Callithrix jacchus: one gene and its partners. The protein of the gene in region 7 purifies or fractionates together with the protein of the main gene of each other region. This does not show direct contact. Links are inferred from orthologs where the notes say so. Each region holds a gene or a part of one and is shown on either strand. Other genes may lie near its edges.

Evidence for each region.
Region 1: the proteins of CUL4B (region 7) and GRWD1 purify together in Homo sapiens (co-immunoprecipitation; 4 studies listed by BioGRID and IntAct, with this or other methods). This does not show direct contact. The link is inferred for Callithrix jacchus from reciprocal best matches to the Homo sapiens genes CUL4B and GRWD1.
Region 2: the proteins of CUL4B (region 7) and DCAF10 purify together in Homo sapiens (affinity purification with mass spectrometry; 4 studies listed by BioGRID and IntAct, with this or other methods). This does not show direct contact. The link is inferred for Callithrix jacchus from reciprocal best matches to the Homo sapiens genes CUL4B and DCAF10.
Region 3: the proteins of CUL4B (region 7) and PHIP purify together in Homo sapiens (affinity purification with western blotting; 8 studies listed by BioGRID and IntAct, with this or other methods). This does not show direct contact. The link is inferred for Callithrix jacchus from reciprocal best matches to the Homo sapiens genes CUL4B and PHIP.
Region 4: the proteins of CUL4B (region 7) and COPS7B purify together in Homo sapiens (affinity purification with mass spectrometry; 6 studies listed by BioGRID and IntAct, counting the BioPlex papers as one, with this or other methods). This does not show direct contact. The link is inferred for Callithrix jacchus from reciprocal best matches to the Homo sapiens genes CUL4B and COPS7B.
Region 5: the proteins of CUL4B (region 7) and DCAF11 purify together in Homo sapiens (affinity purification with mass spectrometry; 9 studies listed by BioGRID and IntAct, counting the BioPlex papers as one, with this or other methods). This does not show direct contact. The link is inferred for Callithrix jacchus from reciprocal best matches to the Homo sapiens genes CUL4B and DCAF11.
Region 6: the proteins of CUL4B (region 7) and EZH2 purify together in Homo sapiens (affinity purification with mass spectrometry; 4 studies listed by BioGRID and IntAct, with this or other methods). This does not show direct contact. The link is inferred for Callithrix jacchus from reciprocal best matches to the Homo sapiens genes CUL4B and EZH2.

What each region holds. Positions count from the first base shown.
Region 1 is NC_133523.1:42,324,836-42,329,089, reverse strand, and holds the start of GRWD1 (glutamate-rich WD repeat-containing protein 1), read right to left. Parts: upstream 2,828-4,254; 5' UTR 2,805-2,827; coding exon 2,618-2,804; intron 2,109-2,617; coding exon 1,991-2,108; intron 1,813-1,990; coding exon 1,653-1,812; intron 1-1,652. UniProt on the Homo sapiens protein: Histone binding-protein that regulates chromatin dynamics and minichromosome maintenance (MCM) loading at replication origins, possibly by promoting chromatin openness.
Region 2 is NC_133502.1:144,782,395-144,786,850, reverse strand, and holds the start of DCAF10 (DDB1- and CUL4-associated factor 10), read right to left. Parts: upstream 2,879-4,456; 5' UTR 1-2,878. UniProt on the Homo sapiens protein: May function as a substrate receptor for CUL4-DDB1 E3 ubiquitin-protein ligase complex.
Region 3 is NC_133505.1:84,280,555-84,284,240, forward strand, and holds part of PHIP (PH-interacting protein), read right to left. Parts: intron 2,631-3,686; coding exon 1,993-2,630; 3' UTR 1-1,992.
Region 4 is NC_133507.1:153,234,548-153,238,747, reverse strand, and holds the start of COPS7B (COP9 signalosome complex subunit 7b), read right to left. Parts: upstream 2,877-4,200; 5' UTR 2,722-2,876; intron 2,609-2,721; exon of another isoform or gene 2,383-2,608; intron 1-2,382. Other genes in the region: PDE6D (retinal rod rhodopsin-sensitive cGMP 3',5'-cyclic phosphodiesterase subunit delta), read left to right, coding at 3,503-3,552. UniProt on the Homo sapiens protein: Component of the COP9 signalosome complex (CSN), a complex involved in various cellular and developmental processes.
Region 5 is NC_133509.1:58,421,743-58,425,915, reverse strand, and holds the start of DCAF11 (DDB1- and CUL4-associated factor 11), read right to left. Parts: upstream 2,908-4,173; 5' UTR 2,858-2,907; exon of another isoform or gene 2,566-2,857; intron 2,480-2,565; 5' UTR 2,392-2,479; intron 2,300-2,391; 5' UTR 2,090-2,299; coding exon 1,935-2,089; intron 872-1,934; coding exon 744-871; intron 525-743; coding exon 397-524; intron 125-396; coding exon 60-124; intron 1-59. UniProt on the Homo sapiens protein: May function as a substrate receptor for CUL4-DDB1 E3 ubiquitin-protein ligase complex.
Region 6 is NC_133512.1:98,905,984-98,909,669, reverse strand, and holds part of EZH2 (histone-lysine N-methyltransferase EZH2), read right to left. Parts: intron 3,579-3,686; coding exon 3,453-3,578; intron 2,651-3,452; coding exon 2,472-2,650; intron 274-2,471; coding exon 178-273; intron 1-177. UniProt on the Homo sapiens protein: Polycomb group (PcG) protein. Catalytic subunit of the PRC2/EED-EZH2 complex, which methylates 'Lys-9' (H3K9me) and 'Lys-27' (H3K27me) of histone H3, leading to transcriptional repression of the affected target gene.
Region 7 is NC_133524.1:116,424,059-116,427,744, reverse strand, and holds part of CUL4B (cullin-4B), read left to right. Parts: coding exon 1-53; intron 54-890; coding exon 891-964; intron 965-1,765; coding exon 1,766-1,928; intron 1,929-1,990; exon of another isoform or gene 1,991-2,094; intron 2,095-2,206; coding exon 2,207-2,296; intron 2,297-2,596; coding exon 2,597-2,679; intron 2,680-3,331; coding exon 3,332-3,399; intron 3,400-3,686.

The DNA of each region.
Region 1 (4,254 bases), on a different chromosome or scaffold from region 7:
AGCCTGTCAAACCAGCATTGTAACTGGGATGGCTCTCCACAGGATGGGGGTGGGGGAGCTGAGGTGGGAGGACAGAGCTCCAAGATGCCTGGGAGTCAAGGCTGTAATTCCCACCAGCCCATGGCAGTGTTTTCAGGCTCCTGATCTCTGTAACCCTCTAAACACTGGAAGGCCACAGGTTCAGTCGTTGGATCTCTTTGCCTCTGTGTTTGTTCACTATGATACCCAGTCTAGCCACAAGGTTTCCAGTTACCCACTAGCCCTGAACTCAACCTCTTGGGCTCAAGTGCTCTTCCCACCTCAGCCTCCCAAGTAGGCGGAATTATGGGCGAGCACCATCACATCCAGCTTTTCACAGTTTTTTGTAGCCAGGTGTGGTGGCTTACGCTGGTAATCCCAGCACTTTGGGAGGCTAAGGTGGGCAGATCACCTGAGGTCGGGAGTTCAAGACCAGAGCCGACATGGAGAAACGCTGTCTTTACTAAAAACACAAAATTAGCCAGGTGTGGTGCTGTGCACCTGTAATCCCAGCTACTTGGGAGGCTGAGGCAGGAGAATCACTTAAACCCGGGAGGTGGAGGTTGCGGTGAGTTGAAATCGTGCACTGTACTCCAGCCTGGGCAACAAGAAAAACTCTGTCTCAAAAAAAAAAAAAAACATAATTTTTGTAGAGATGGGGTCTCACTTTGTTGCCCAGGTTGGTCTGGAACTCCTGGTCTCAAGCAATCCTTCTGCATGGGCTTCCCAAAGTGCTGGGATTACAGGCATGAGTGCTCAGCCTTGACCATTCAAACTTTTTTTTTTTTTGAGATAGAGTCTCGCTCTGTCACCTAGACTGGTGTGCAGTGGCGCGTTCTTGGCTCACTGCAACCTCTGCCTCCCAGGTTCAAGCAATTCTCCTGCCTCAGGCTCTGGAACAGCTGGGATTACAGGTGCATGCCACCATGCCCGGCTAATTTTTTGTACTTTTTGTAGAGACTCGGTTTCACCATGTTGGCTAGGCTGGTCTCGAATTCCTGATCTCAGGTGATCCGCCCACCTGAGCTTCACAAAGTGCTGGGATTATAGATGTGAGCCACCACACCCAGCTGGACTTTTTTTTTTTTTTTTTTGCCAATCAGTTTGAGCTTATGAGGTGGCTCAGGTTAGCCTTGGACTGATGACCTCGCCTTCGCGAGCGCCATGAGCTCCGGCGGGAGCCACTTTGGACCCCCCAGCTGGACTTTTCTAAAAACTGAAGGAGGTTGGGTGTGGTGGCTCATGCTTGTAATCCCATCGCTTTGGGAGGCCGAGGCAGGCTAATCACTTGAGCTCAGGAGTTTAAGACCAGCCTAGCCAACATGGCAAAAACCTTGTCTCTATTAAAAATATAAAAAATTAGCTGGGTGTGGTGGCAGGCACCTATAGTCCCAGCTACTTGGGAGGCTGAGGCAGGAGAATGACTTGAACCCTGGAGGAGAAGGTTGCAGTGAGCCAAGATCGCACCACTGCATTCCAGCCTGGGCAACAGAGCGAGACTACATTTCAAAAAAAAAAATGAAAGACACAAGGAGCTGTTGGGAGAGTTATGGACATAGGGAATGGGTCTGGTGTGTTTCAGAGAATGCAGAGCAGGCTCCTGGGACCATGTCTGCTCCTGGGACCATGCTTACCCGAACTCGGTTGATGCCACCATAGTGGGGCACCATGGCCAGCTCCAGCTGAGGCTTCTGCTCTTCTTCATCCTCTTCATCTTCCTCCTCCTCTTCATCACTGCTGTCTGAGGGTGGGGGCTTAGTTCCATGCAGATTGTGCATCCGAAGGATCATCAGTCTGGTAGAAAGTGGGGGGTGAGTTAGGCACTAGATTTCAGGATTCTTAGGAAGGAGACAGGCTGGAAACCCAGACTCCTGGGTCTGGGACAGGCAGCAACTGGAAGCCCTAACTCTTGGGTCCTAAGGAAGGGGCTGGAAACTGAGCCTCCTGGTCCTGGAAAAGCCTCGGGTCTTACCTGTTGCTCTGGGCGCTCTCGGCCTGGGTCCCAGCACACAGGTAAAGTGTAAGAGGAAGCTCTGTCCGGCTGTCTCCCAGGTGATCCCGGACTATGTCAAAGCTGAGACAGGGAGCGCCTGGGGATGGAAGGAGGGTTTTACGAGTTAAGACTGGACAGTGAGATCTCAGTCCCCACCTCCCTCATGGATCAACCGCCTCTGATGTGAAATCACCTTAGAGTCCAGCCTTCTCTTCCCGAGCACCTCTCAGGTTAAAGGCTTGAGATCTGGGCGAGAGCAGTGGCTCACGCCTTGTAATCCCAGCACTTTGGGATGCCGAGGCGGTCGGATCATGAGGTCAGGAAATCGAGACCATCCTAGCTAACACGGTGAAACCCCGTCTCTACTAAATACAAAAAACTAGCCGGGCGTGGTGGCATGCGCCTGTAGTCCCAGCAACTCGGGAGGCTGAGGCAGTAGAATCACTTGAACCCGGAAGGCGAAGGTTGCAGTGAGCCAAGATCGAGCCACTGTACTCCAGCCTGTGCAGCAAAGAGACTCCATCTCAAAAAAAAAAAAAAAAAAAAAAAAAAAAAGGCTCGGGATCAACCACCTCAAGACCCTGGAGTGTGGACTCTCAGCCCTACCAGTCTGCGCTCGGTGGTATAGCACATAGGCCTCCTCGTCCATGACCAGCTCCTCCCCTTCGCGTAGCGGCGGCCCCCGGCCGGGCAGGTAGACCTGGGCCGGGCCCTCGGAACTTGTGTGGCGGGACTCGGCCTCCATGGGTTCCCTGGTTTCACACATGCGCCGCCGACCCTTGCGCGCCGCCATCTTCGAACCCTCTTATCGCCGACGCCCGGTTAGAGCGTCACTTCCGGGTTTTGCTTTCCTTCTAATGAGATCCGCCGTACTGCGAGGTTACCTTGGAAACCTCCGCGACCGCTAATTAGAGAGGGTAGTGCGTAAAGGCGGGAGAACTCAGGAAATGGCGCCCCCGGGAGAAGACTGAGGATACGCAGAAATTGCATCTTCGCGTGACTTTGGGTGCTGTTCCTCGCGGTAGTGGCAAGGGCCTCTGGGAGTTGTAGTTCTAAGGGAGGCCTGTTATGCCTATATTTCACTTTGATTCCCAGAGCATTCCTTCTACTTAATTATTCATATATGCAAATTTGTTTTCTCACTGGCAAAGAGACTGGGTTTCTGCTCCCTGAGGACCCATAAGGCCGGTTTCTTCTCTCCCTGTTATCATGGCTTTAACTTATTTCAAAAATGCCTTCCTGTAGACAGGATGGATATTATCTGTAAGTTAGGCGGTTCAATCTACCCTCTAGGGGCAATCAATTGCCTAACTAGACATTTACATTGAGGCTCTGGTCAGCGAGCACTTAATCAGATAGTCCACCCTCTGGGGGCAGCTATTACAAGTGATTCGACTCTCTTTATCGTCCATCAGCACCAGCGGTTTGGCTAATTGACATAATGAAATGTTAGAAATAGATTCTCATTGGTGAGATTAACAGCATTCAAGATAATGCGGATTGGTTGGGATATGTCAGACAACTCTCCTAGCTTGCATGAACAGGATATTAAGAATCTAGCAAGCCTTGGTGCCTGTAGCCATAGGAAATAAAACCATACCTTTGATCCTAAAATGTTTTGTCTCCGGGATCTAGCTCACCCCTCTCTTGGGGTCTCTATCTGCCCCAGTACCCTCTCGATTTCTCTTTCCAGGGTCTCTTCCCACTGCCTCTTTCTTGGTCTTTGTCTCCCCGCCTCCTTTCAGAGTCTCTTCTCTCTAATAATATCACCTCTTCCCATGGGAATTTTGTGTTTCTGTTTCCCCCAGAGAAGTCGAGGGGGGCTAACAGACACGGAGCTCAGGCTTGGACTGAGGAGGCATAAAAACATGGTTTATTCCAAACACTGCAATGTGGAATAGAAGAGTGGGAAGGGAGGTTGGTGAAGTGTGGACTCCCAGACCCTCCCCTCCGCAACCCAGCCCCAGACCCGGCTGGAGATCTGGGAAGAGGAGGCTTTTTGGAGGTCTGCTGGGTCATCACTGAAGGGTCGCAAATAAGGATTGGATTTGGAGAGGATGTGGTTGGTGGCAAGTGGGGTGGTCTAGAGGTGCGACAGGTTGGGAAGTTTTGGCTTGAAGGAGGTTGGGTTCATTGCGGTGCAAGGGTTGGCGGGGCTTCCGTTGGGGACGAGTCCTAGGTCACAGTAAGGAAAAGCGCCCGAGGGTTGAAGAGGAGGAGAGGGTGTCACGGTTTGATGTCAA
Region 2 (4,456 bases), on a different chromosome or scaffold from region 7:
CTGTAGGTGATAAGGTGCTTTCGGAGGACTTTCAGGCAGGAGAAAGGCATGGTCAAAGCTGTGTTTGTTATTTGTTTTGCAACAAGTTTTTCCATGTATTTGCCCCATCAGGCTGAATTGTCATTAAGAAGACATCTATTTTGCCTGTCTCCATATTATGTTTTTAGTTATGAAAAATTTTCACACAAAATTAGAGAAGAGTATTAAAAAAAATTAACTGTGTGCCCATCATCCAGCTTCCATTATTAGGATTTTGCCACATTCAATTCATCTTCTCTGTCTCTCTCTCTCTCCTTTATCTGTGAAAATAATTCTTTATTGTGGTAAAATATATATAAACGTAAAATTTACCATTTTAACCATTTTTAGGTATATAGTTCAGTGATACCAAGTACATCACATTGTTGTGCATCCATCACCACAATCCATAGCCAGACCTTTTTCATCTTCCCAAACTGAAACTCTACCCATGAAACAAAGTAACTCCCATTGTCCCCTCTCTCCAGCCTCTGACAACTAACTATCAACTTTGTATTTCCGTGGGTTTGAAGGCATTTCATATAAATGGAGTAATATAATATATGGCCTTTTACTTAGCATAATATTTTCTAGGTTAATTTTACATTGTAGCACATATTAGCATTTAGTTACTTTTAGGCCTAAATAATATTCTATTATGTGATATACCATACTTTATTCACTCATCAGTTGCTGGGGATTTGCATTATTTACACTTTTGTCTATTATTAATCATTATGCTATGAACATTCATGTGCAAGTTTTTGTGTAAACATAAGCTTTCAATTTTCTTGACTACATCCTAGAAGTGGAATTTATTTCCTTCTTTCCTTTCTTTCTTCCTTCTTTTTCTTTCTTTCTTTCCTTCCTTCCTTCCTTCCATTTCTTCCTTGCTTTCCTTTCTTTCTTTCCTTTCTCTTTTCTCTCTTCTTTTTCTTCCTTTCTCTTCTCTCTTCTCTTTTCTCTTCTAAGATGGGATGGGGTCTCTGTTACTCAGGCTGGTCTCGAACTCCTGGGCTCAGGTGAACATCCCGCCCAGCCCTTCTACAGTGCTGGGATTACAGGCATGAGCCACCACGCCCCCAGCTGGAATTGTCATGTTATCTGGTAACTTTATGTTTAACTTTTTAAGAAGCTGCCAAACTGTTTTTCAAACAGTTTTCAAAGTGGCTATACCATTTTAGAATTCTACCACAAGATGAGTCTTCCAAAATTTCTATATCCACAATAACACTGGTTATTATCTGTCTTTTTGATTACAGCCATCCTATTGGAGATGATGTCTCATTGTGATTTAATTTGAATTTCCCAGATGACTAATGATACTATCTTTTTATATGCTTATTGACTGCTCATATATCTTCTCTGAATAAATGTCTGTTTGAATCTTTGGCCCATCTTTAAATTGGGTCATCTGTCTTTTTATTATTGAGTTGTAAAGGTATTTATATATTCTAGATACTTGTCCCTTATCAGACATATAATTTTTAAATATTTTCTTCCATTCAGTGAGTTATCAGTTCTAATTTTGATGAAGTCGATTTTTTTCAATTTTTTTCCTGAATGTTTGTGCTTTTGGTGGTATAGTGTCTTAGAAACCACTGTCAAATCCAAGGTCACAAAGATTTGCCTCTATATTTTCTTCTAAGAGTTTTATAATTTTAGTTCTGACATTGAAGTCTTTTATTCATTTAATTTTTGTATATAGTTTAAGATGGGGTCCAACTTCATTCTTCTGCATGTGTATATCCAGTTGTGCCAACACCATTTGTTGAAATTATTCTTCTTTCCCCATTGAATTGTCTTGGCATCCTTGCCAAAAATTAGCTGATCATAAGCATGAAGGGTTTTTAAAAATTTTTTTTATTATACTTTTAAGTTCTGAGGTACATGTGCAGAACCTGCAGGTTTATTACTAGGTATGCACGTGCCATGGTGATTTGCTGCATCCATGCTCACGTCATCTATATTAGGTATTTATTCTAATGTTATCTCTCCCCAATCCCCCCACCCTGTTATCCCTCCCCTACCCCCCTCACCCCTACAACAGGCGCCAGTGTGTGATGGTCCCCTCCCTGTGTCCATGTGTTCTCATTGTTCAACACCCGCTTATGAGTGAGAACATGCAGTGTTTGGTTTTCTGTTCTTGTGTCAGTTTGCTGAGAATGATGGTTTCCAGCTTCATCTATGTCTCTGCAAAGGACAGGAACTCATCCTTTTTTTTTTTTTTTTTTTTTTCCTTTTAGTTGCATTTATTTTAAGGCTGAATTTGCTCCCGTGCCATAAGTTTTTGCTTCTTCAGTTTCTTCTGGGATATCTTCTTCTTCTGGGCAACCTCCTCTTCTGGTTTAGGAACAATCTGTTCCTTTTCAGTAAGGATCATCTCAATGTGGCAGGGAGAACTCATGTATGGGTTAATTCGACCATGAGCTCTGTAGGTCCGGCGGCGCATCTTGGGTGCTTTGTTCACTTGGATATGCTCAATGACCAGAGAATCTACATCTAAACACTTAAGTTCAGCATTACTCTCTGCATTTTTAAGCATGTGCAGCAAAAATTCAGCACTCTTTTTGGGCCACCGACCTTGTGTCCAGCCCCACTGCTTGGCCTGGGCACACCTGCCAACTCCACCATTGTAACGTCGGAATGGTACGCACTGTTTCTGTAAAGTGACATCTTTCAGATACTTCATGGCTTTTCGTATATGCATACCCTTGATGGCCTGGGCAGTTTCACATGTGTTCTTAAAGTGAACGCGAAGATTGGAACCTCTTGATTTGCATGACTTTGTGGGGTTCTCCCGATCAAGTGAATAGCGAACCATTTTCACAGATTACCTCAGGCCGCTTGGGGAAAGAGCAGGAACTCATCCTTTTTTATGGCTGCATAGTATTCCATGGTATATATAGGCCACATTTTCTTTATCCATTCTATCATTGATGGGCATTTGGGTTGGTTCCAAGTCTTTGCTATTGTAAACAGTGCCAAAATAAACGTGTGCATGTGTCTTTATAATAGAATGATTTATAATCCTTTGGGTATATACCCAGTAATGAGATTGCTGGGTCAAATGGTATTTCTATTTCTAGATCCTTGAAGAATTGCCACAGTCTTCTGCAATGGTTCTAATTTACACTTCCACCAACAGTGTAAAAGTGTTCCTGTTTCTCCACATCCTCTCCAGCATCTATTGTCTCCTGATTTTTTAATGATCGACATTCTAACTGGCGTGAGGTTACCATCTCGATGTGGTTTGATTTGCATTTCTCTAATGACCAGCCATGATGAGCTTTTTTTCATGTTTGTTGGCTGCATAAATGTCTTCATTTGAAAAGTGTCTGTGCATCAAGGGTTTTTTAAAAATATTTTTTCCCATCTCTCAACTTTTAGCTGAAGATAATGGTTTATTTCTGTGTCTTAATTCTATTCCATTAATCTTTGTCTATCCTTAGGCCTATACAGCATTGTCCTGATTACTATAGCCTTGTAGTAAGTTTTGCAATCAGACATTTAAGTTCTTTTGTTCTCACAAAAGAACTTTGTTCTTCAAGATTGTTTTGGCTATTCTGAGTCTCTTGAATTTCCTTACAGACTTTAGGAGCAATTTGTCATTTTTTACAATGAAGTCAGTTGGGATTTTAAGAAAAATTGGGGCTGGGCGCGGTGGCTCTCGCCTATAATCCCAGCACTTCGGGAGGCCGAGGCAGGTGGATAACGAGGTCAAGAGATCGAGACCATCCTGGTCAACAAGGTGAAATCCCATCTCTACTAAAAATACAAAAATTAGCTGGGCATGGTGGTGCGCACCTGTAGTCCCAGCTACTCGGGAGGCTGAGGCAGGAGAATTGCTTGAACTCAGAAGGCGGAGGTTGTGGTGAGCTGAGATCTTGCCATTGCACTCCAGCCTGGGTAACAACAGCGAAAATCCATCTCAAAAAAAAAAAATTGGATTGAATCTGTATTTCAATTTTGGCAATAGTGTTATCTTAGCGATTTTTTTTAATTACTATTTTTTGTAGAGATGTGGTCTCACTTTGTTGCCCAGGGTGGTCAGGAACTCCTGGGCTCAAGCAGTGCTCCTGCCATGACCTCCCATTAACAATATAAAATCATCTGAACCATGAAAATGGGTGGGGTGCCATTTCAATTCTTTAGGCAGGCGGATTACAAGGTAAAGATATTGAGATCATTCTGGCCAACATGGTGAAACCCCGTCTCTACTAAAAAATACAAAAATTATCTGGGTGTGGTGGCATGCGCCTGTAGTCCCAGCTACTCAGGAGGCTGAGGCAGGAGAATTGCTTGAACCCAGGAGGCAGAGATTGCAGTGAGCTGAGGTTGCACCACTTTACTCCAGCCTGGGGCCTGGTGACAGAGCAAAAGTCTGTCTCAAAAAAAAAAAAAAATTATTTCAACAATGTTTTGTAGTTTTCAGAAT
Region 3 (3,686 bases), on a different chromosome or scaffold from region 7:
AAAAATCTGAAAATTTTGAAATTATTTTTTAACTGCAAAATCACAGCAATGCAGTCAAGATCTGGAAGATGGTTTACTTAATTTCACAGGAGAATTTCTGTACAAATTGAGTTACAAATGATCTAGAAAGCCCAAATGTATCACTTTGCATTCTTCAAGACAGTTAAATGACAGCTAATATTTATCCTTATCAGAAATAATTAAAGAAATATTATATAATGTATTTTGCCAAGGTTCAATTGCAGACTTTATTTTTCCACATCAGAGTCATGCTGATACATATTTTCCCCATCCTCACTTCTTAAAAATGTAGTATCTGAAAATTTTGGTTACATTTTTGTACCATACCAGTCCTCAGAAAATACTACATTCTTTAAATTTTTTAAAAAATGGACAGTAATTTTTAAACAATAGAAATGGTAGTTATGTTGGTTTTTAAGGTATAAAATAACTAACTGTACCATAAACAAATAAATAACTGCTTTCCTTTTCCATAGCAGTACATATAGCAATACATTCTCCTAAGTCATATAGTTATCATTTACAATAGACAACTTAATTTTACTAATGATGCAAAAAATAATAGAATACAAGGCACAATCATTAAATGGAGTTTTTCTTTAGGGTGTATATTGACATACCAGCATGATAAGGATACCGTAAAAAGTGCAGAAAAAACACAATGTGCAATGAGACCACTGTATAAAACATGATTGCATAAAAAGTGATTTGGCCTATTTTAACCTTTAATAATTGAAAATAACCAATTTCTCCCTTAAAATCAAACTATAAAGTATGACATTTTAAAATTATTTTTATTCTACTGCTATCTAAAAAATCCTGAAAAAAGAATTTATACCTGGGTAATAGTATATGTGTTTGTATATATATTTAATTATACCCATTTATCAATATATACACATACACACACAGACATGTTTCTTTGTTAAGTCATTTTAGCCTATTAGATATGTCTACAGTTTAGAAATGACATTAATCCAGATCAACAAGTAAACATCAAATCCCATACCTTTTTTCCTGTATTTTCCTTGAATCCTTTAACCACTTAAACATTTCCTCTATAACATCTCTGTCAAAGGACCCACCAGTGCATTATTTTCTATTAGTACCAAAAAAAGATATATCTCAGCACAACTCTTTAATAACTTGCTCTTTAGAATATATAGCCTTTCCAATATCGAAAAGTGTATGCTGTCCTGACAGTCAAAAACAGGCTTTCCACTGCACTGATTCTCAGTCTTTGGCACAATAAACAGAGATTGAGTGATATAAGAATCAAGGTCTGAAAAATTAGACAGTCAAACGTTTTCCAATGTGGATATGTTTCCCTTCATCAGTACATTTTCTCTTAAGTTTGGCAGAAATGGAATAAAGCAAAAGCCTCCTTTAGATACTTTGCAGATGAACATTCTATAATTAAAATTAAACTTTTAAGGGTAGCAAATGGTGGAAATTTTGTATTTATGTTTTAGAGGAAACATTTCTTAATTCACTGCTACTCTGTATAACATCTGTTTTTAGAGGCATGACTTGTATCAATAGAAATGTACCTTGCTTGGTCAAAAATGATTCATTTTAACATGAAATGCTCTATCACTAGGAATATTATGCTCCTAAAGAGTGTAGCAGAACTGTCTTTTCTATAAATAAATCAGGGAAATCATTATAGATCAATTTCTTTTGTTTCAAACAGTGAATGAAATGAATGTGAAAATGCATAACCTATCTAAGGGCAATAAATAGCAAACATTTAAAATATATATGTATATATTTATATATATATATTCATTTAAAGAAGTGAAGTGTCTTGTAAGTTTTTTTTTGTTTTGCTTTTGTTTATTTTTTTTTTTGCAAATTAAATGATAACATTCCCTACTCCACCATAGCAGCAAGGAAGCAGAAGCCTTCTTTCTACTTATTCCTTAACTGTACCTGCTTTATAGATTTTGAAGTAAAATATTTTGGTACAAGTTACCAACCAATTAAATTAGCTTTTGCTTTTTCAGTCAACTTTCGGACACGTCCTCTACTAGAAGTTCCAAAAGTTAAAGAGGTGTCTTCGAACAACAGCTGCCTTTGCTCCTCTTCAGAGTCATCTTCATTATAGAAAGCTGTCCTTCGACCTTGGTTTCTAGTTCTCATGTGGGGTTCAGAGGCTTTGAGTTCTTCAAACTCTTCTTCCTCATCTATAGGATCATCTGTCTTTTTTCGGTTACTTCTCCTTAGTACCTTGACACTTGCAGGGACTAGGAGATCTGAATCTAGTGTTTGTGTCTTCATCTTCCTTTTCGGTTTTCTACCTCCACGATTCTTTTTCTGTAACAAATCTTCTTTTACATTATTAGTTTCAGGAAGAAAATTGCATGTTGAAGAAGGAACTACTTCATCTCTGATGGGATGCACATTGTTTTGCTCTAAATTTTCTGGCTTTGCATATTGTAGTTTTTTGGGCTTTCTACCCCTTTTCTTGTGTATAATTTCACCACTAGTGGTATTAACTTCTACTTTAGGTTTCCTTCCAGGTCCCCTCTTCACAAGTTTTGATGGCTGTCCTCCATGGCCATTTACTTGAATGGTTCCTGGTACAAGAACGTTGTTCTTACAATCTCCTAAAAGGGAACAACAATATACTTAATATATGGAATTTATTTTGTTGTTTGACCCTCAAACTTGTCAATAAGGCCCCATTGGTATACTTATATGTAATGATATAACCCAAATTATTTCATTAAAATGAGGAAAAAAGGACCTAGAAACAGCTCAATGATATTATTTATTTTCTAATTTAAAAGAGAGATTCTTAATGATCTCATGAGGGAGGTGAAGCTCACAGAAAATAAATAACTTATCTAAGTTAATATTGTGATTGATTATAAAGCTGGGATAACCAAAGGTTTCTTATTCCTAACTTAGAAATAAGTTACTCTTGGTCACAAACTTTGTTCTGAGACTGTTTCAAGAGGATTCAAAAACAACTAAATGGCAGATTTTCTTCAGAGGCTTCTTAGTCTTATCTCCTTATATAATATATGATAACTATAATCCTAGGAAATACTGATTATATATATCAATCAAAATCACCATGTGTGCCACCATTATCATGATTAAGATCCCACTGTAACAAACTCCATGATACAAGGCCGTTATGCTTCAAAAAACAAAAAAAGAGAGAAAATGCTGACAATCAATTTCTAAACCTGTACGATCTAGAGATCATGAATTACGTTTCTGCTGTAGAAAAAAATTCTGTGATTTAGATAAAGGAAAAATATGCCATAGGAACAGTAACACTCTTTTTCCCTCCAAATTTCTGACATGTTTTTATTTTAAATGGTAGGTGATTTGCAATGCACTATTTTTTAGGAAATTCATAGACGGAAAACTGCTTTTAAAGAGAGTACTTCCTCACAACACTTTTTTTGGTCACAGGTTTGAACTGTACTTTGTAAATAAGAAAATCATGGTTGGCTGGGCCTGGTGGTTCATGCCTGTAATCCCGGCATTTTGCAAGGTTGAAGCGGGCAGGATCACCTGCGGTCAGGGGTTCGAGACCAGCCTGACCAACACAGCAAAACCCCATTTCTACTAGATGTACAAAAATTAGCTGGGCATGGTAACGGGTGCCTGTAATCCCAGCTACTCAGGAGGCTGAGGTATGAGAATCG
Region 4 (4,200 bases), on a different chromosome or scaffold from region 7:
ATTTTTTTTAGAAATGGAGTCTCACTATGTTGCTCAGACTGGTCTTCAACTCCTGATCTCAAGTGACCCTCCCATCTTGGCTCCCAGAGTGCTGAGATTACAGGTGTAAGCCACCACACCCAGCCCATGGCTGTAGTTAAAGCCCTTCAAAGTGTGCCTCCCTCCTAACTCCTCGAGCTTGCTTTGTTGCACCCCACCCGCTTCACAGTCCAAACTCCCATGCCTGGCACAACTTAAACCTTCCTTCCCAGACACCAGGCCTGTGCTCAAGCTTGCTCTCTTTTTTTGTAATGCTCTTATATATTCCTGTAAAAATCCTACCAACTCTACAAGCAAAGATTTCTAAAATCCAATGCAAAAAACACTAACCATAATAGAAAACATGGAACTTTTGCACTATGTTAAAATTAAGAATTTCTGGCAAGTACGGTGGCTCACACCTGTAATCCCAGCGCTGTGGGAGGCCAAGGTGGGCGTATCACGAGGTCAGAAGTTTGAGACCAGCCTGGCCAACATAGTGAAACCCTGTCTCTACCAAAAATATAAAAATTAGCCAGGCGTGGTGGTAGGAGCCTGTAGTCCCAACTACTTGGGAGGTTGAGGCAAGAGAATCACTTAAATTCGGGAGGTAGATATTGCAGTGAGCCTAGATTGTGCCACTGCACTCCAGCCTAGGCCACAGAGCAAGACTCCATCTCAAAAACAGAATTTCTGCTTGTCAGATGCAGTGGAGTATGCCCATAGTCCTACTTGGGAGGCTGAGGCAGGAGGATCACTTGATCCCAAGAGTTCAAGGTTGTAGTGGTACCTGTGAATAGCCGCTGCATTCCAGCCTTAGCAACGCAGCAGAGACCCCATTCCTTGAAATAATAATAATTTGTTTCAGAAGACACCAGTAAGAGAATGAAAAGACAAGCCACACCTTGGAAAAGACATCTGCAAAGCATATATCAAAGAACTCCATATCCAGACTGTAAAGAACTACATATCAGCAAGAAGACAGCCCAATTTTTAAAAGTCAGAAAAAGAGCGGGCACTTCACAAAAGAGGACATTCAACTAGCCAAGAAGCACATTGAAAGGTGCTCAACAGGAAAAACGTAAATAGATACCTTAATGAGATACCACATTCAGCTAGAATGGCTAAAATTAAGAAGACTGACAGCAAACATCCAGTGTTGACAAGGATAAGAGGCACCTAGAACTCTCATATTTCTGGTGAAGGTGTAAATTGGTACAATCATTTTGAAAGACTAGCAATGTCTACTATCACAGATCATGTGCAAACCCTCCCTACACACCAGCAATTCCTATCCTGGAAGTGTGTGCAAGTGTTTACAAAAAGATACATGTAAGAATGCTCACTACAGCTTTGCTAATAATAGTCCAAAAAAATCACAACCCAAATGCCCACCAACAGTGGGAAAGATAAATTATGATATATGCATACAACAGAATACTATTCAGCAGTTAAAAGGCTACACACAACAAGGATGAATTTCACAAAAATACTGACAAGGTTAAAAAGCCAGACACATACTGTACATACTCTATGATTACATTTAACTGGAATTCAACAACAGGCAAAACTGATCTATGGTGATACAGTCAAAAGAGTGATTATCTCAATATGTAAGAATGTAATACTGATTGGGAAGGAGCACTAGGCATGCTAGAAATGTTCTTTATCTTGATTTGGGCAGCAGGGACAGGGGTGTATACCTATGTGAAAACTGTTCCCTTACTGTATGTACGTTACACCTCATTAACAAAAACTTTTTTAACATGAAAAAAAAATTCAAGCTCAAATGTCACCTTCTCATTAAACTTTTGCCAGCTGTAATGAATCTTTTTATCAGGGCCTCCTTAGCATTCTGATGTCATTTCTTTATGCCATTTTACCACACTCCATCTTGAATCTCAGTGGAGTCTCCTTATTTCTCTAAATAGATGTTTTGTTTATCTTCCTGGTGGCAGTGACCATGTCCTTCACCTTTTACCCACTCAGGGCCTAACAAATAATAGGCTGAAAACATGTTTGTTGAATTACATGGAAGAAAAAATTGGGTGAGTTCCCAGATGGGTGAAAGCGAGGACAGGCAGAGGAAGGAAGGCCAAGAGAAGGACATAGGAGGTCTCCAAGGAAACCGTGGCTCACACTGCAATTTTACCTACTTCCTGAAATCACGTTAAATGTCACTTTGAGTGGCAAAGAACAAAACACCAAGTCATACCTAGGCTGAAAATATACAAATATCACACTCCCTTACTTACAAGAAATCACCAAATAAATGCTACCTAATCTCTGGGTGTTTCAACACTGGATGGGAAAACCGTTCAAGGAGAATAAGAATTCACATTGCCATCCTGCTAAAAATATCACCTCCTTAGTGTGGTGCAGAGTCCGGACTGCAAGTCAGCAGACTTAGGGCCGAATTCTAACTCCGCCCGAACTTGCTGTGATCTGCGACCAATCCCTTCGCCTCTCTGGGCCTCAGTTTCCTCATACATAAAAACAGGGTGTAGATTAGCAAAGTCCCTTTCTGTATTGATATCGTGTGTACAACCCATAGCTCTCACGATCCAAAGCAGGAATACAGCAAAAACCCCTGAAAAACACGTAAAAGACGCCTCAGACCAACAAACAAGCACGACTTGAAGAAGTCATTTTGTTATCTTTCACAGTTCAATCAGTGTTTTTGTTTGTTGTTTGGTGCCTTACCATGATTTGCAGAAGATGTCTGAGTTCCATGTAAACAGAAGGTGACTCTCTGCGGGTGTCATCTTCTTCGGAGGGTGAGAAGGGTCTTCCCGCCTGGTTTCAAGTCTCAGGATTCCGAAACCACCAACTCAGCTGGCGGGTTTATGAATTTGCGCACACTGCGCGGCACACTGGAGCCTTAAGTTACAGAGGAACTGAGTGCAGGGGATGTTGGGATTTGTAGTCCCCAGGCCTCTTTGTAGTGCGCTGGGATCTGTGGTCCCTGAGTGCACCGCTGGCATGCTGGGAAATGTAGTCTGTCGCATCTCACAGTGCAACTAGCTGCCGTCTCACAGTGCAACTAGCTGCCGGTTAGTGTGCTCAGCGGCTAGAGCAGGTCCCTAAAGCCTCTGCATATCCGAAGGCAACCCTCCGCTGGGACAAACTCTAGGCAACAACACCAGATGAATATTATGTCCTTTGGGACTTCCCGGGGTGGGCCCTTCCCATTGACGTTCACAGTCCCCCTGCGAAGCCGCTGCGCGCTCCTATTGGCTGATTGGGTTGCCAATTGCCAAGGCGGGCTTTCCATTGGTTCCAGGAGGGCACTCGAGGCTTGGGGGAAGGAGAAGGGATCAGGAGCGGGAGCTGAGGGGAGAAAGAGGCCGGTCCGGGTTTGGCCGCTGCTGCTGCTCTCCCGAGGTCTCCAGGCCGGACTGCGGCTCCATCCTCGGCTCCTGGGCACCGTCTACGAGGCTCCGCCAACCAGAGTGAGAAAGCCGCGGGCGGCGACTGCCGCATCATGTCAACCAAGGACGAGCGAGCCAGGGAGATCCTGAGGGGCTTCAAACTGTATCCGCCCGGGAGCTGGGCGGGGCCGGGAGGACTTGGGAGATTGCCGCTCCCTGAGGAGACTGGCAGGGGGCGGGGGCCGCGCCAGGTGGGCCCCACCGAAGAAGGGCCGCGGGAGGGGAAAGGAAAGGAACAGCTTGCCCGGCCCCGGGAGGGACCGGGCGCGAGAGGCGGCCCCAGGGGCGTCCGGAGGAAGGACTGGGACGTTGACGGGAGCCCCGGGAGGTGGCGGGTGGGGACGGTGGAGCCTGGGGGACGGGGCTGCTAGAGGCGCCGGGCTTCGGAAACGCTGTCAGAGAGGCCGGCTGGATTCCGATCCCCGGCCGGGACCCAGAGGCCGGGAGGGAGCTGCGGCCCGCAGGGAAGGGCTGAGGGGGCGCGGTGGGCTGATCTCTCAAACTAGAAGCCCTCTGGCGGGAAGCCCACCTGGGGAGCGCGGAACGGTGACTTGGAGCGGGCGACCTTGTGTGGGACAATTACCAGTGCTTTTTAAAACTCTCTTAGGTCCCCCACCGCACCGCACCCCACCCCCGTCTGGTTTCCACAACTTCTTTTCCAAACCTGTGGCTTCTTCCAGGGCTGGAGTAGTTGGGGGATGTGGGGAAACAGAAATCCAAGATCGACCTTGTCTTAACACTCTTGGCCTTC
Region 5 (4,173 bases), on a different chromosome or scaffold from region 7:
ACTTTAGGAGATAAGACTTATCTGGCCCTTAGAGTCTCTTCACCAAGCCCCATACTCACTGAGATATCACTCGAGACTGTTCTCCAAGGGAGAAGCTTCCCCGGTGGCAGAGGCCCCGTTCTCTCTAAATGGAAGGGATTAGGGAATATTGCTAGCAGAAACAGAGGGCCACTTCAGCCGTATCAAGCCCCCTCCACCAAGGATATTGCTCTTGTTATAGAAATAGACACAACACACCATGGTCTGTCCCATAGAACTCTGATGGAAGCTAGTTAACTCTCCAGCACTAGCCCTTGAGACTTCCTTGAAAAGTTTACTTTCTTTTTCTCTGGGGCTGGCAGAGCTTCTGGCTGCTTTGGTAGTCCTGCTGCCAGGCTGGGAGGTGGAGAGGCCTACCTGGTGCAACATTCGAGGGAAGCTGTGTTCCTGGGCTGCCCGCCTAAGCCCCAGCTGCCCTGTGGCCAATTCCACTTGTGTCTTGATCTCATTGCATTCCAGCTCCCGGGTGTCAGGGGTGGCATCCACTGTGAGTACCAAGAAGTTTCATCCTAGGTCTTTCAGCCTCAGAGGATAGTTAGCAGAACTGTACCCAAGCCCACCCCTGTGGCTGAATATACCGGGGTTATAAGGACTTCCTTATTCCCTAAATTATTGCACCTTCTTTTAATGTAATCTATTATTCAAAGTATCACTAATAGGTTTTCTAGTAAAAGTCTTCCAACATTAGGGCCTTTTCCTCTTACCAGGTGGGTTGTATCGGTCCCCAAGACGACCATCCCAAGCTCTGTCATTCTCTTCCTCTGAGTCCAAGAGGGCCTGAATGAATTGTAAATTTGCTGCACCTCCTCCCTGCACCAACCTCACTTGGCCTCTGTGGAGAGACCCCCAGTATAAAGGAGGGGACTTCTTCCCCCAAACCAACAAATTCAGAGTCAATGGCTATCTAGCTCTTAGACCACTTGGTACTCATTTTGAGGTTTCAGGCTGACTAGACCTTGGCTATTATTTTCAGTTTCCTATAAAACACAGTAAGAAAGTGAGTCTTACTTTTAGAACAAGAGCAAAAGCAACACGCTGTGGACATTACCTACTAAGTTGACCTCCCAACGAGCTAAACATTCTCACAGTGTTTCCTTCTGAGCCTCTGCCTGAGAAGTCCACCACAGAACACAATATTCTAAGCTGGGAGCAGTGGCGTGTGCAACTGTAGTCTTAGCTACCTGGGAGGCAAGGAATGCTTGAGCCCAGGATGTGGTGTGCACTGTGATCACACCTGTGAATAGCCTGCTCTCCAGACTGGGGAACACAGTGAGATCCTGTCTATGTCTACTGAAAACAAAACAAAACACAAACAAACAAAAAAGACTACAATATTCAGAAGGGACCCCCATGCTCATCTTCTCCCCAAATAGCCATAAGGAAAGAAACAAAGCTAGCTGCACTCTTCCAGTCAATTCCAGGTGGTCGCTCCCTTCAAGGTACTCTTTCCTCAAGAACAGGTCAGGGCAATTTAAACTTGTTTTTCAAGTAATCAAAGTGGCCTCACATCACGCGTCAATGCCTTACTAAAAAGTTCAACACTCCCTTCCCATCTCTTCACCCCTTACATCACTCCTTTCCCTCCAGGCCCCATTTTGTTTTAAACTTACTTGGAAAATAGATTATATTTGTTTAGTCACAGCGAGAGAGGCTCCCTTGAATAGTCCCTCAAACACATGAGCAGGTCCTCTTGGTGACCCTCCTTAGGTAAGACCCACTCTTACTGGATATGGAGCTGTGTGCCATGGGTGCCCAATAGGGAAAGGCTGTTCTGCTCAAACAGAACGGCTGTTCTGGGCAAATCCCATTTCCTAACCTCTGTAATTTTCCTGCCTGGAGTTGGGATCAAGGGACCGTGGTAGCACCTGGTGAGGTCACACCAGAGGGTAAGTTACCTGCGGAGGAGATAGGCCAGTACCTGGGCCAGATCCACATCTTCATCCTCTTCTTCCTCTTCCTCACTCCGACGAAGGCCAGCCCCTCTTCGGGACAAACCCTCGGAGGGGTCTCCGGACCCGGATCCCGCACTGCTGCTGTTCCGTGATCCCATCTTTTGGTCACAGCATTCTTAGGTTCTGTGCGGGGGCTCCTCCTGTCACCTCCTTGGGTTTGGTGAAAGCAAAGCGTGCTCTAGAAATACCAGGGTCTCCTGAGATGGGGTAGCTATCTCCAGGAGGGTGACCCTTCCTCGGGGCTGAGATCCCTTTTCTTTAGCCTATGCCAACTACCAAGGCGTCGGGAACACAAACCTTCTCCAATCCTGTGAAGCAAAGAAAGAGAGAGTGAAGCGAAGGGCGTCACCCTACCTCACCAATTTGAGAAAGATTTCTCAGTTTTCTACACCAAACTCACCTATTAAAGTCCCAGGACTGGGGAGCGGAAGGGTTGTTGGGCGGTGTTGGATTCCCAGGTAACCTCTCTGACAGACCAATCGAAGCCCCTCGAGAAAGAATGAGCACCACTAGCTTATCTCATCTAACCAATTAGAAGCCTTAAGACTTAAAGACCCTCGACGCCCCCTCTTACCGACCAATCAGAGCGCTTCCTTAGGAAAGCCGGCAGCAGTGACAGCCAATGAAAATAAAATTTGGCCTACCCCCCCTTCTTCCTTGCCTCACGCCCACGTGGTGCGCCGGGGGTGTGTAAGCCAAGAGGGGTAGGAAGCCGAGAAGCACCTCCCACTGAAGCCGGCAGTTACCGCCCCCCGGGAGACCACCCACCAGCCAGGAGCGGTCGCAGGACCCGCAGTGGCGCGAGGCCTTGTTTACACCAACTGCCGCCGCTGCGTTGGCCAACCGCTCCTCCGTCACGAGCCTACCTCGTCACACATCTCGCGGCTTCCTGGCCGGCGGGCTGCAAACGTCACACGACGGTCCCGCCCCCTTGGCCAGCCAACTGGACAGCGGAGCGCCGTGATTGATAGATAGGCGAGAGAATGCGCCAGGGGCCTGAGGGGAGGAGAAAGTGCGCACCGGAGGCGGGCCTTTCGCCCTTGTTGGGGAGGAGTAAGTGGGAACTGGCAGCTTCTTGGATCAGAGACAGCCGAACTAGACGTAATAGCTGAAAGGCAGGGGTTAAAAAAATTGGTGGTTCACTACCGAGAGATATTTTAGCAAGGGATACAACTTACTGTCTGTCCCTAAAAATCATTTGGGCACTTTTCAGACAGTGCCCAAGGCCTCCCCTCCTTTCTCCCCACTTTTTCCTCCGTCCAGCTAGAGCCGTTCTCCTGTCGTCGGCTGCAGCTCCAGTCCTGTCCTCAGGGGTGCTCGGCGTCCCAGTAGGCTTCCACACCTTCCTTCCTGGCTTAGCTTTTGGAAGCCTTGTTCTTGGGACTGCCCCATTTTAGACCTCCCTTTAACCGCTCCGGCAACTTTTTAGACAATCCCTGGCTTTCCGCTGCGGTCTTTGCAGACGCTCCCTAGTATTCGCGTTGTTCTCTCACAGCTTTTCCGGTTCCGGCAGTCCCCTTAGACGCTTCCTTGGCCCTCCGCGAGTTGCAGACCTTCCCTAGACCCTGTGTCCTTGCGGTGCCTCTCCGCCCCCGGCCGCGGGTCCAGGGTGCTCGCGCTGCCTCCTGTCCCCACCCGCCGGTGGTTGAGTAACAAGCCTGAGTCCAAGGCCGGGAATTGCCACATCTGTGATCCTCGGCCACGCTGGGTGGGGAGGCATGTGGGTTGAACGACCTTGTTGTCCCGCGCTCAGAGGCTCAGGATCCGAGCTGAACTTCAGTCCCCGCAGCCTGCACTCCCTTGGGAAAGCTGCGAGCGTCCCTCCGCCCGCTCCTGAGGGCATCGATGGGCTCTTTGCCTTCTTGGTCCCTTCTGGGGCCTCTCTCAGTGAGGGCGAGGGTTTGGCCAGCTTTCGAGCGACGTCTCCTGGTCTCCAGACCCCGAGACCTGAGCCTGTCACCAGGACTAGCCTTGATGGACTCTGCATCCGTATGCTTGGAAGCATCTATAATGCTTGGTTTAATGTTCTACTGTTAACGGTCTTGAAATTCTTAATAATTTTAAAGCAAGTGCCGGGCATTTTCATCTTGCGCTTGGCCCCACTGATTATGTAGGCGGGCGCCCATCACGTATTGCCGGATAACTCACTTTCCGTGCCTTAAGGTTTATTGAGACTTTAGGA
Region 6 (3,686 bases), on a different chromosome or scaffold from region 7:
CACCATCCAGTTGTTACTAAGCATGCAAATCCACAACCTGCAGAAGTCCAGGCTGAAAAGGCAGTTTATGGCAATTCATTTCCAATCAAACCCACAGACCTACCAAATGAAATCAATCTAAAATAAAGAAAAGTTGTTATATACAATGCCACCTGAATATAGGTGATCAGTGCTTACCTCTCCACAGTATTCTGAGATGAATTCATTTTTCTGCACAGGATCTTTGATAAAAATTCCCCAGCCTGCCACATCAGATGGTGCAAGCAATAAATGCTAGAGAAGAAAACACAATCATATAATCAAAGAAGAGGGTAAAGATGGACTAGGGACAAATTAGACTACAGAATAAAAACAAGGCTATTGCTGTCAATCTTCAGACCTGTTCTAAGGCAGTAATGGACACATACCTTCAGTCAGTGTGAAAGCTGCTGAGAATGGCTGGCTAAGTATGAAAATTATGTTTTTCTTACAGAGCAGAGAAGTATCACTGTCTTACAGAAAAAACTTTTGGTGCTGTTGGTTGTTTGCATTACTGCTGCACTTTGGCTGCCTGGTCTCCTCAGCCCTTGATTTTCTTAAGTAATTTACTTTCATCCTGAATTTAATATAAGGGCACCTCCAAATCACCTTCCTCTTCATAACTTTCCCTCTACTTCCGTCAAGTGACATCTATTACCAGTTCTAGATGCCCCCAAGGACACCCCGATTCTTCACTGGCATTTGTTCCCTCTGAAGCCCACAGCAGCTTTCTTTTAAATTTGTTCTTCCACCCTACTTCCTCAGGAAAATCTACCAAGAGGTGGCATCATGATCTTGTCAGTCCAGTAGTCTATTTTCAGCAGAAAGGCCAAGATGATCACTGCAGTAAATTATAGAGTTAGGGATGTGTTCCCAAACACATGCCAATTTTTCAACATGGCTCATTATTATGCTTTCATTCAAAATTTTCTTATGACCTTTACAAAGGCTTCCTGATCACTCAAGCTTCCAATCTATTCCTATTCTGGAACATCCTACCACTCACCTGTGAGGTGAACTTCCCAAATACTCTTCTGTGCAGAAACTAAATTATAGCTAAATATTGCTATGCAAATGAAACCTAATTGGTAAAAAAGTATCTACATAGTTTAACATTTTTAAGAGCTAAAAAATGTCTTACAAAGAGGACATGTCAGTATCAATAGTATTACCCTCTTTCTGAACAAACTGAGGAAGCAGTGCAATGGCAAGTTGTTTGGGGGAGAAATGGAGATTTTTAGGTCTGAATGGGTATTGCCATCAGAAACTGAACCAGCATCACCATGACCCAATGACCTAAATGGATATATAACTGCCTAGAGTAAAATGATTTAAATGCCTAAGAGAAAAAAATCACAGCTAAAAACAAAAACAAAAAACCTGCCACCCTGTACAGCTATCTGCCATAAACACAGACTTTGGTTTAAAGACACAAGGGAACAAAACAAAGAGAAGTTCAGTGTTTTGCCTGGAGCAGAACTGCTGGTTGAAGGGGACTTGTTGGTAAAAAGTGTGATCTCAATCATAAATAAATGGTCCAACAATCAAAGATATGTCTACTCCACACCCCCCAACACACACACACACACACACACACACACACACACACACACGCAGCATAAGAGCAGGTTAATGGGAGTGAGTGCCTGGGGGATTTGATCTCCTGCTCCTTTACAAATCTTGTGACTTTGGGTTTGCTGTACCGGTAAAATGGGGTTAACATTTATTCCTCACTCACAGAGTTATCAAGATCAATGAACAAATCCACTAAAGCACTTAGAACAGTGCCTGCTATTTTTACATGCTTAATAAATGTCAGTTATTATTATAAGAAGAACTGACTGAAGAGAAAAACCTATCATCTACCCTAAAAAAAAAAAAAAAAGACAAATTTCCCAAATACATGTTGTTGCAGTTTCTTTTGCTCAATAATTACTTCCTGACTGATACAGTTAAAATTACCTACATACAATTCCCAGAATTCAAATATATAATTCCTGGCTGGGTTTTTTCCAAGGTTATTAAACAGGAACTAAGTAAATAAAAACCTGCCGTGGGAAATTTCATCTTTTACCCTACATAGTAAGGAACCTATAAATACTATCTGATGAGAATGACTCTGTGTTTTGATAGAAATCACCATTTATTTGCATTAAGGATACTAGATAAAGAGAAATTCAAATCTCTATTAAACAGCTCCTATTTCAAATCTGATACCATGAATGGCTACTTCTCAGAATTTGCTGGTTTCTCCCACCAACACAGTACGGTGTTCTCTAGAATGAAGAGACTGCCCCAGAGTGCATTACCCAGAGAAAATTATCAACGCTTTCTCTCTTATCAGTTGTACCTTTCAAGGATCACTTTTACTTTTTGCCCCAGTGAAATCATCTAAGACAATCCTGAGATTAGCATCACTAAAAACAACCTTCCAGAAGCAACTTGTTGCTCACCTTTTTGGAGCCCCGCTGAATACTGCAGTTCTTACAAGACACATTTTTACTGTCCCAATGGTCAGCAGCTCCACAAGTAAGACAGAGGTCAGGGTCGCACTCTCGGACAGCCAGATAGCATGGGCACTGCTTGGTGTTGCACTGTGCTTTGCAGCGGCATCCCGGAAAGCGGTTTTGACCTTCAGAGAGAGGTGTGGAGGTTCTTCACTCATCATCAACACCATGACTATCACAATCATCACCATATGCAAGAACTTGCAGAAAGATATGTGGCAAGGGCTGTACTGAGCATCTGACTGACTCAACCCTCACAACCGCCTTATTACTCTACTGTATAGACAAGGAAATGGAAGTATTAACAGCGAAGTTAAAGCTGTTTGTACTGAAAAAGACCACCATTGAGTTGTTCTTCCATTTTTCATTTGTTAAATAATGTATATATTTAAAGTAAGTGTGAATAAAGGGTTTGGATGAAACAATATCCATGGTCCTTGACCATTCTAATAGCTCCTGGTTCTAAACACTCCCTTAGTATTCAAGCTTAATGTGCAGTTTCATTAAACAATTATTATAATCCCCTACATTTGTGCTACATTCCTTTATTCTGAAGACTAAAACCTTCCTAAACTCTGACAACTTCTGGTGCCCAAAAATTATGTGGGTAGCTCCTTCTAGATTTCTCTTACAATCTGTGCCGACTTTAATATGACTTAATTTAAATGATCAAAGAAGAAAAAAATAAAATTCGGATTCCTTTAATACAACTTTGCCTGCCTCACACACATAGACACACAACACCCAGGCAACTGACTGGTCACTGGCAGGGGCCAGGTATGGGGCTCAATCAATACCTGTAGAATCGATGAATTTCCTAAAGTAAACAAGGGAGTGCTCCTGTGTTCTCACTTTTTGATTTTTTAAATTGCTGACCAAAGGCCTATTTAGTTCTCATGCAATTGCATCAAAGCAACAAATACTTACACTCTGAACTACATTGACAAAACTTTTCACAAAAATTTTGTGCTATCACACAAGGGCACGAACTGTCACAAGGCTGCCGTGGATGATCACAGGGTTGATAGTTGTAAACATGGTTAGAGGAGCCGTCTGAATAAAGATAACATCATGCAGGCCAATGAATCCAGGGAGATGGGAAACGATCATACACAATTAACAAGAGTACATTCTTCCCTACTACCTGTGGAGTGCAGCTGG
Region 7 (3,686 bases):
TTCTTTTTCTAAAGAAGATTGATAGATGTTGGCAAAATCATTGCAGACAAATGGTAGGTTGGAAAAGGTATTATATTTCAGCTAAACACCGTATTAATAGTTAAAAACATTTCTTCAAATGCAGGAATGTTAATTTTTAAAACTTGACAATAGGGAGATTGCTTCAATATCTGTTCCGTTTTTATATTGGAAACTAGTTTTGGTTGAGTTTTCTATTTTAAAACCACAGGTTACAGGTAAACTTGCATTTCAGAATGACTCGCACCTTAGGTTCATTTTTATTTTTGTCACACCAAAAATGTATTTATCTCATTCATTAAAAAGCTACATTTTGTCTGTCACTCTTATTTTTTTTCCTCTCTTGATGGTTTTCCTGTTCAATACTTGATTACCTGTTAAGTTGCCTGATGGTCCTTATTTTAGTTTATTCAGATGACAACCTTTTCCATTTTCCTTAATCTGGTATTAGTTTATATCTTATATTCTACAGATCAAAATCCTAAAATCCATCCCCCCCACCCCCAACTGAAAACTAAAAACCTCACATGTGTAATGTAAGGCAACTTCATTGCCTAGCACTGTGGCTAAGGAAGAATTATATGAGTGTCCCCTTGATTCCCTGTTATTTTTCAATTACTTCTCAGGTAATAAGTCAGAGGGAGGGTCATTTTAAGTGCCTTCCTTTCTAGAAAACACAACAAGGATTAAGACAGTCAAATAATAAAAATGATATGGGCCTATTCTCAGATAGATATGTTTATCTGCATATTAGATCCTAGTAATTAATATATATACAGACGAACCCTTCAGTTTTATTCTTACTGAAAGCAAATATTTCAACTTCACAACGTATAAAAATTGTTTGATTTCTTTTTTTTTTCCATTGGCAGATCATGATCAGGAGCATTTTTTTGTTTCTGGATAGAACTTATGTTCTTCAGAATTCAATGCTACCCTCCATTTGGTAAGGATGCCGGTAAAACATGAAAAGATTGTTCCAAATCATACTCAGATCTTAATTACACTAATGAAAGAGTATAAGCAATACTGTGAATATTCTAAAAATTCACATTTGGCTTCTAGGCTTTCCTTTGTAGCAGTTTTATCTTCCTAATAATCTGTCTTTGCTAATATTGAAGATAGCTAACATTACTATATAACCCTGGGCATATATTAATTTATGAAGACTTTTTTTGTTAAGGGGACTAAAATTTGCTCTGGAATGTCTATGATTGTGATTCAGTTTGCTGCTGATCATCAAGAGTTCACTCATTTAACATTATGGAAAAGTCCATGTATACATGAAAATAGAATGGTATCATGAACTCTTCCCCCTATCATGTACCTATCATCTGCTTACAGCAATGACAGAATTCCCTGCTTCTTGAGTATTGAAACAAATTGATAAATAACCAAATAAGCTTTCAATGCCAGTACAGTGAAAATTGTTTTATGTCTTTGAACTAATTTTGTCTCTTTATTTGAGCAAGAAAGAAATCCATAAAAAGAAATAATACAACAAAACTTAGTTATGGAGGAAAATAGGAATTTAGCTTCAGTTCTCATTAAAGACAAAATGAGTTTCCTGTATGCTTTAATCTAATAATGTTATTCAAAATTAAATATGTGGATTTTATTCTTTTACAATTGCTGCTTCAAAGCCTGGGACTATAATTAACATGGCAACATGTGGTAAGAAGTTAAGCAAACCTCTTCAGAAGTGGTATTGTCAAGTAATTTAGATTATATGTGTTTTTTATTTTAGGGACATGGGACTGGAGTTATTTAGGGCTCATATTATAAGTGATCAGAAAGTCCAGAATAAGACAATTGATGGCATCCTTCTCTTGATTGAGAGGGAAAGGAATGGTGAAGCAATTGATAGAAGTTTACTCCGAAGCCTTTTAAGCATGCTGTCTGATTTGCAAGTAAGTTAACCACTACACATATTTTACAGAGTTGATTGCTATTCCTAGTTTTTTTCCCCCCACATAAGACAGGTAATGTGCTGATGTCATAACAAGGTTTGAAGGAAGCACATCTCATACATGAGCATAAAACCCCAATCAGCATGCTTCTAAACTACAAAAGGATCCTAGTTTGATGTTTAAAAACCAAATCCATAATGCTGTTTACATAGACATATAGGACATTTAGTAAATATTTACTAAGTAAATCATATCCTTCATTTTGTTCTCCCTCCCAGATTTATCAAGATTCTTTTGAACAACGATTTTTGGAAGAAACTAACCGGCTCTATGCAGCTGAAGGCCAAAAATTAATGCAAGAAAGAGAGGTATTTAAAAATCATGACTAATAAATTCACTGTCTCTCACAGTAGACCTTACTTTGTAGAATATAAACTTCCCTTTGCATTTATCTTCCCAACATTGTGATGCTCTTCTCTCACTTAGGTGCTCCTTTCTTTTCTCTCTTCTTAAAGGCCAGAATTCTGGATCATAAACTCTACCTATAATTTTACATATGATTCTACCCTGTCACATTTGACAGGGCTGCTCCCAGGATCTTTTGGACTTGACATTTTCTGAGTGATTTATGGGGAGGAAAACAATAATATAAAAAACTATCTTTGTAGGTTCCTGAATATCTTCATCACGTTAACAAACGTCTAGAAGAAGAAGCAGACAGACTTATTACTTACTTAGATCAGACCACCCAGTAAGTATTACATGCTTAATGTAATTGTCTTAAGCTGTTGTTAAATGACTTGTAGCACTTTAGGCATCCTAACAATTAACTGTTTTCAGTTGTGATTTGAAATGTTAACAGTTGTTTTCATAATGCAAGCTTCAAGTTATTCTTTCCCTAGTTAGTTTTCATCAAGGATTCAATTATTAGGGGGGTGTGTGTGTGTGTGTGTTTAGAATGTAATTTAGAAATAATATTAGAGATTGATATGAACATTAAACTCTTCAGGCCAGTTAAAATTCAGTGGATTCTCCTATTTCTGTGCTCTCCTAAGTATTGTCAATCGAGGGGCTTCTGTAAATAGTATATCTTTACCTTCCTGATAAAAGTAGCAAAACTTGGAAAAAGCCAGCTACAGCAAGATCATGGAGATATTTATTTCATGATGTAAATCGAATTCTAAAAGAGGCATTTAAAAGAATTTTTCCCATCAATTCCTTTGTGTTTTCTTCTTTTAGGTATAAAGTATAGTAACTCTAAGTGCCAATAAATGTATACATAGGATAGGAATCTTGAAATTAACACAAAATGAGCTATTTGATTTTTTTTTTCCTCAGGAGAGGCTTTACATTTTCTGGAATTCAAACGTCAATAATACTAAACTTTTTTTTTTTCCTTGCAGGAAGTCATTAATTGCTACTGTAGAAAAACAACTCTTAGGTGAACACTTAACAGCAATTCTTCAGAAAGGTAATTGGCAATTTGTAAATTAAGAGATTACTTTTTAAATGGTAGTGGCAAACTAGTAGGGAATTTTTTAAAGATGTTGCTCTTTTAAAAGTTTGATAGCATGTGGCTGCATTTCTGAGGATGGACATAATCCTTATTAATCACAGTAAACTTCCTGGAGGTGCCAATTTTCTTATCTGAAAGATACAGGAACTAGAAAGAAGAAAGGGATCCACCAATACCAATAAAGAAACAGTGGTTGATATGTGCCTGTAGTATCAGCTATTTGAATGGCTGAGGCAGGAGGA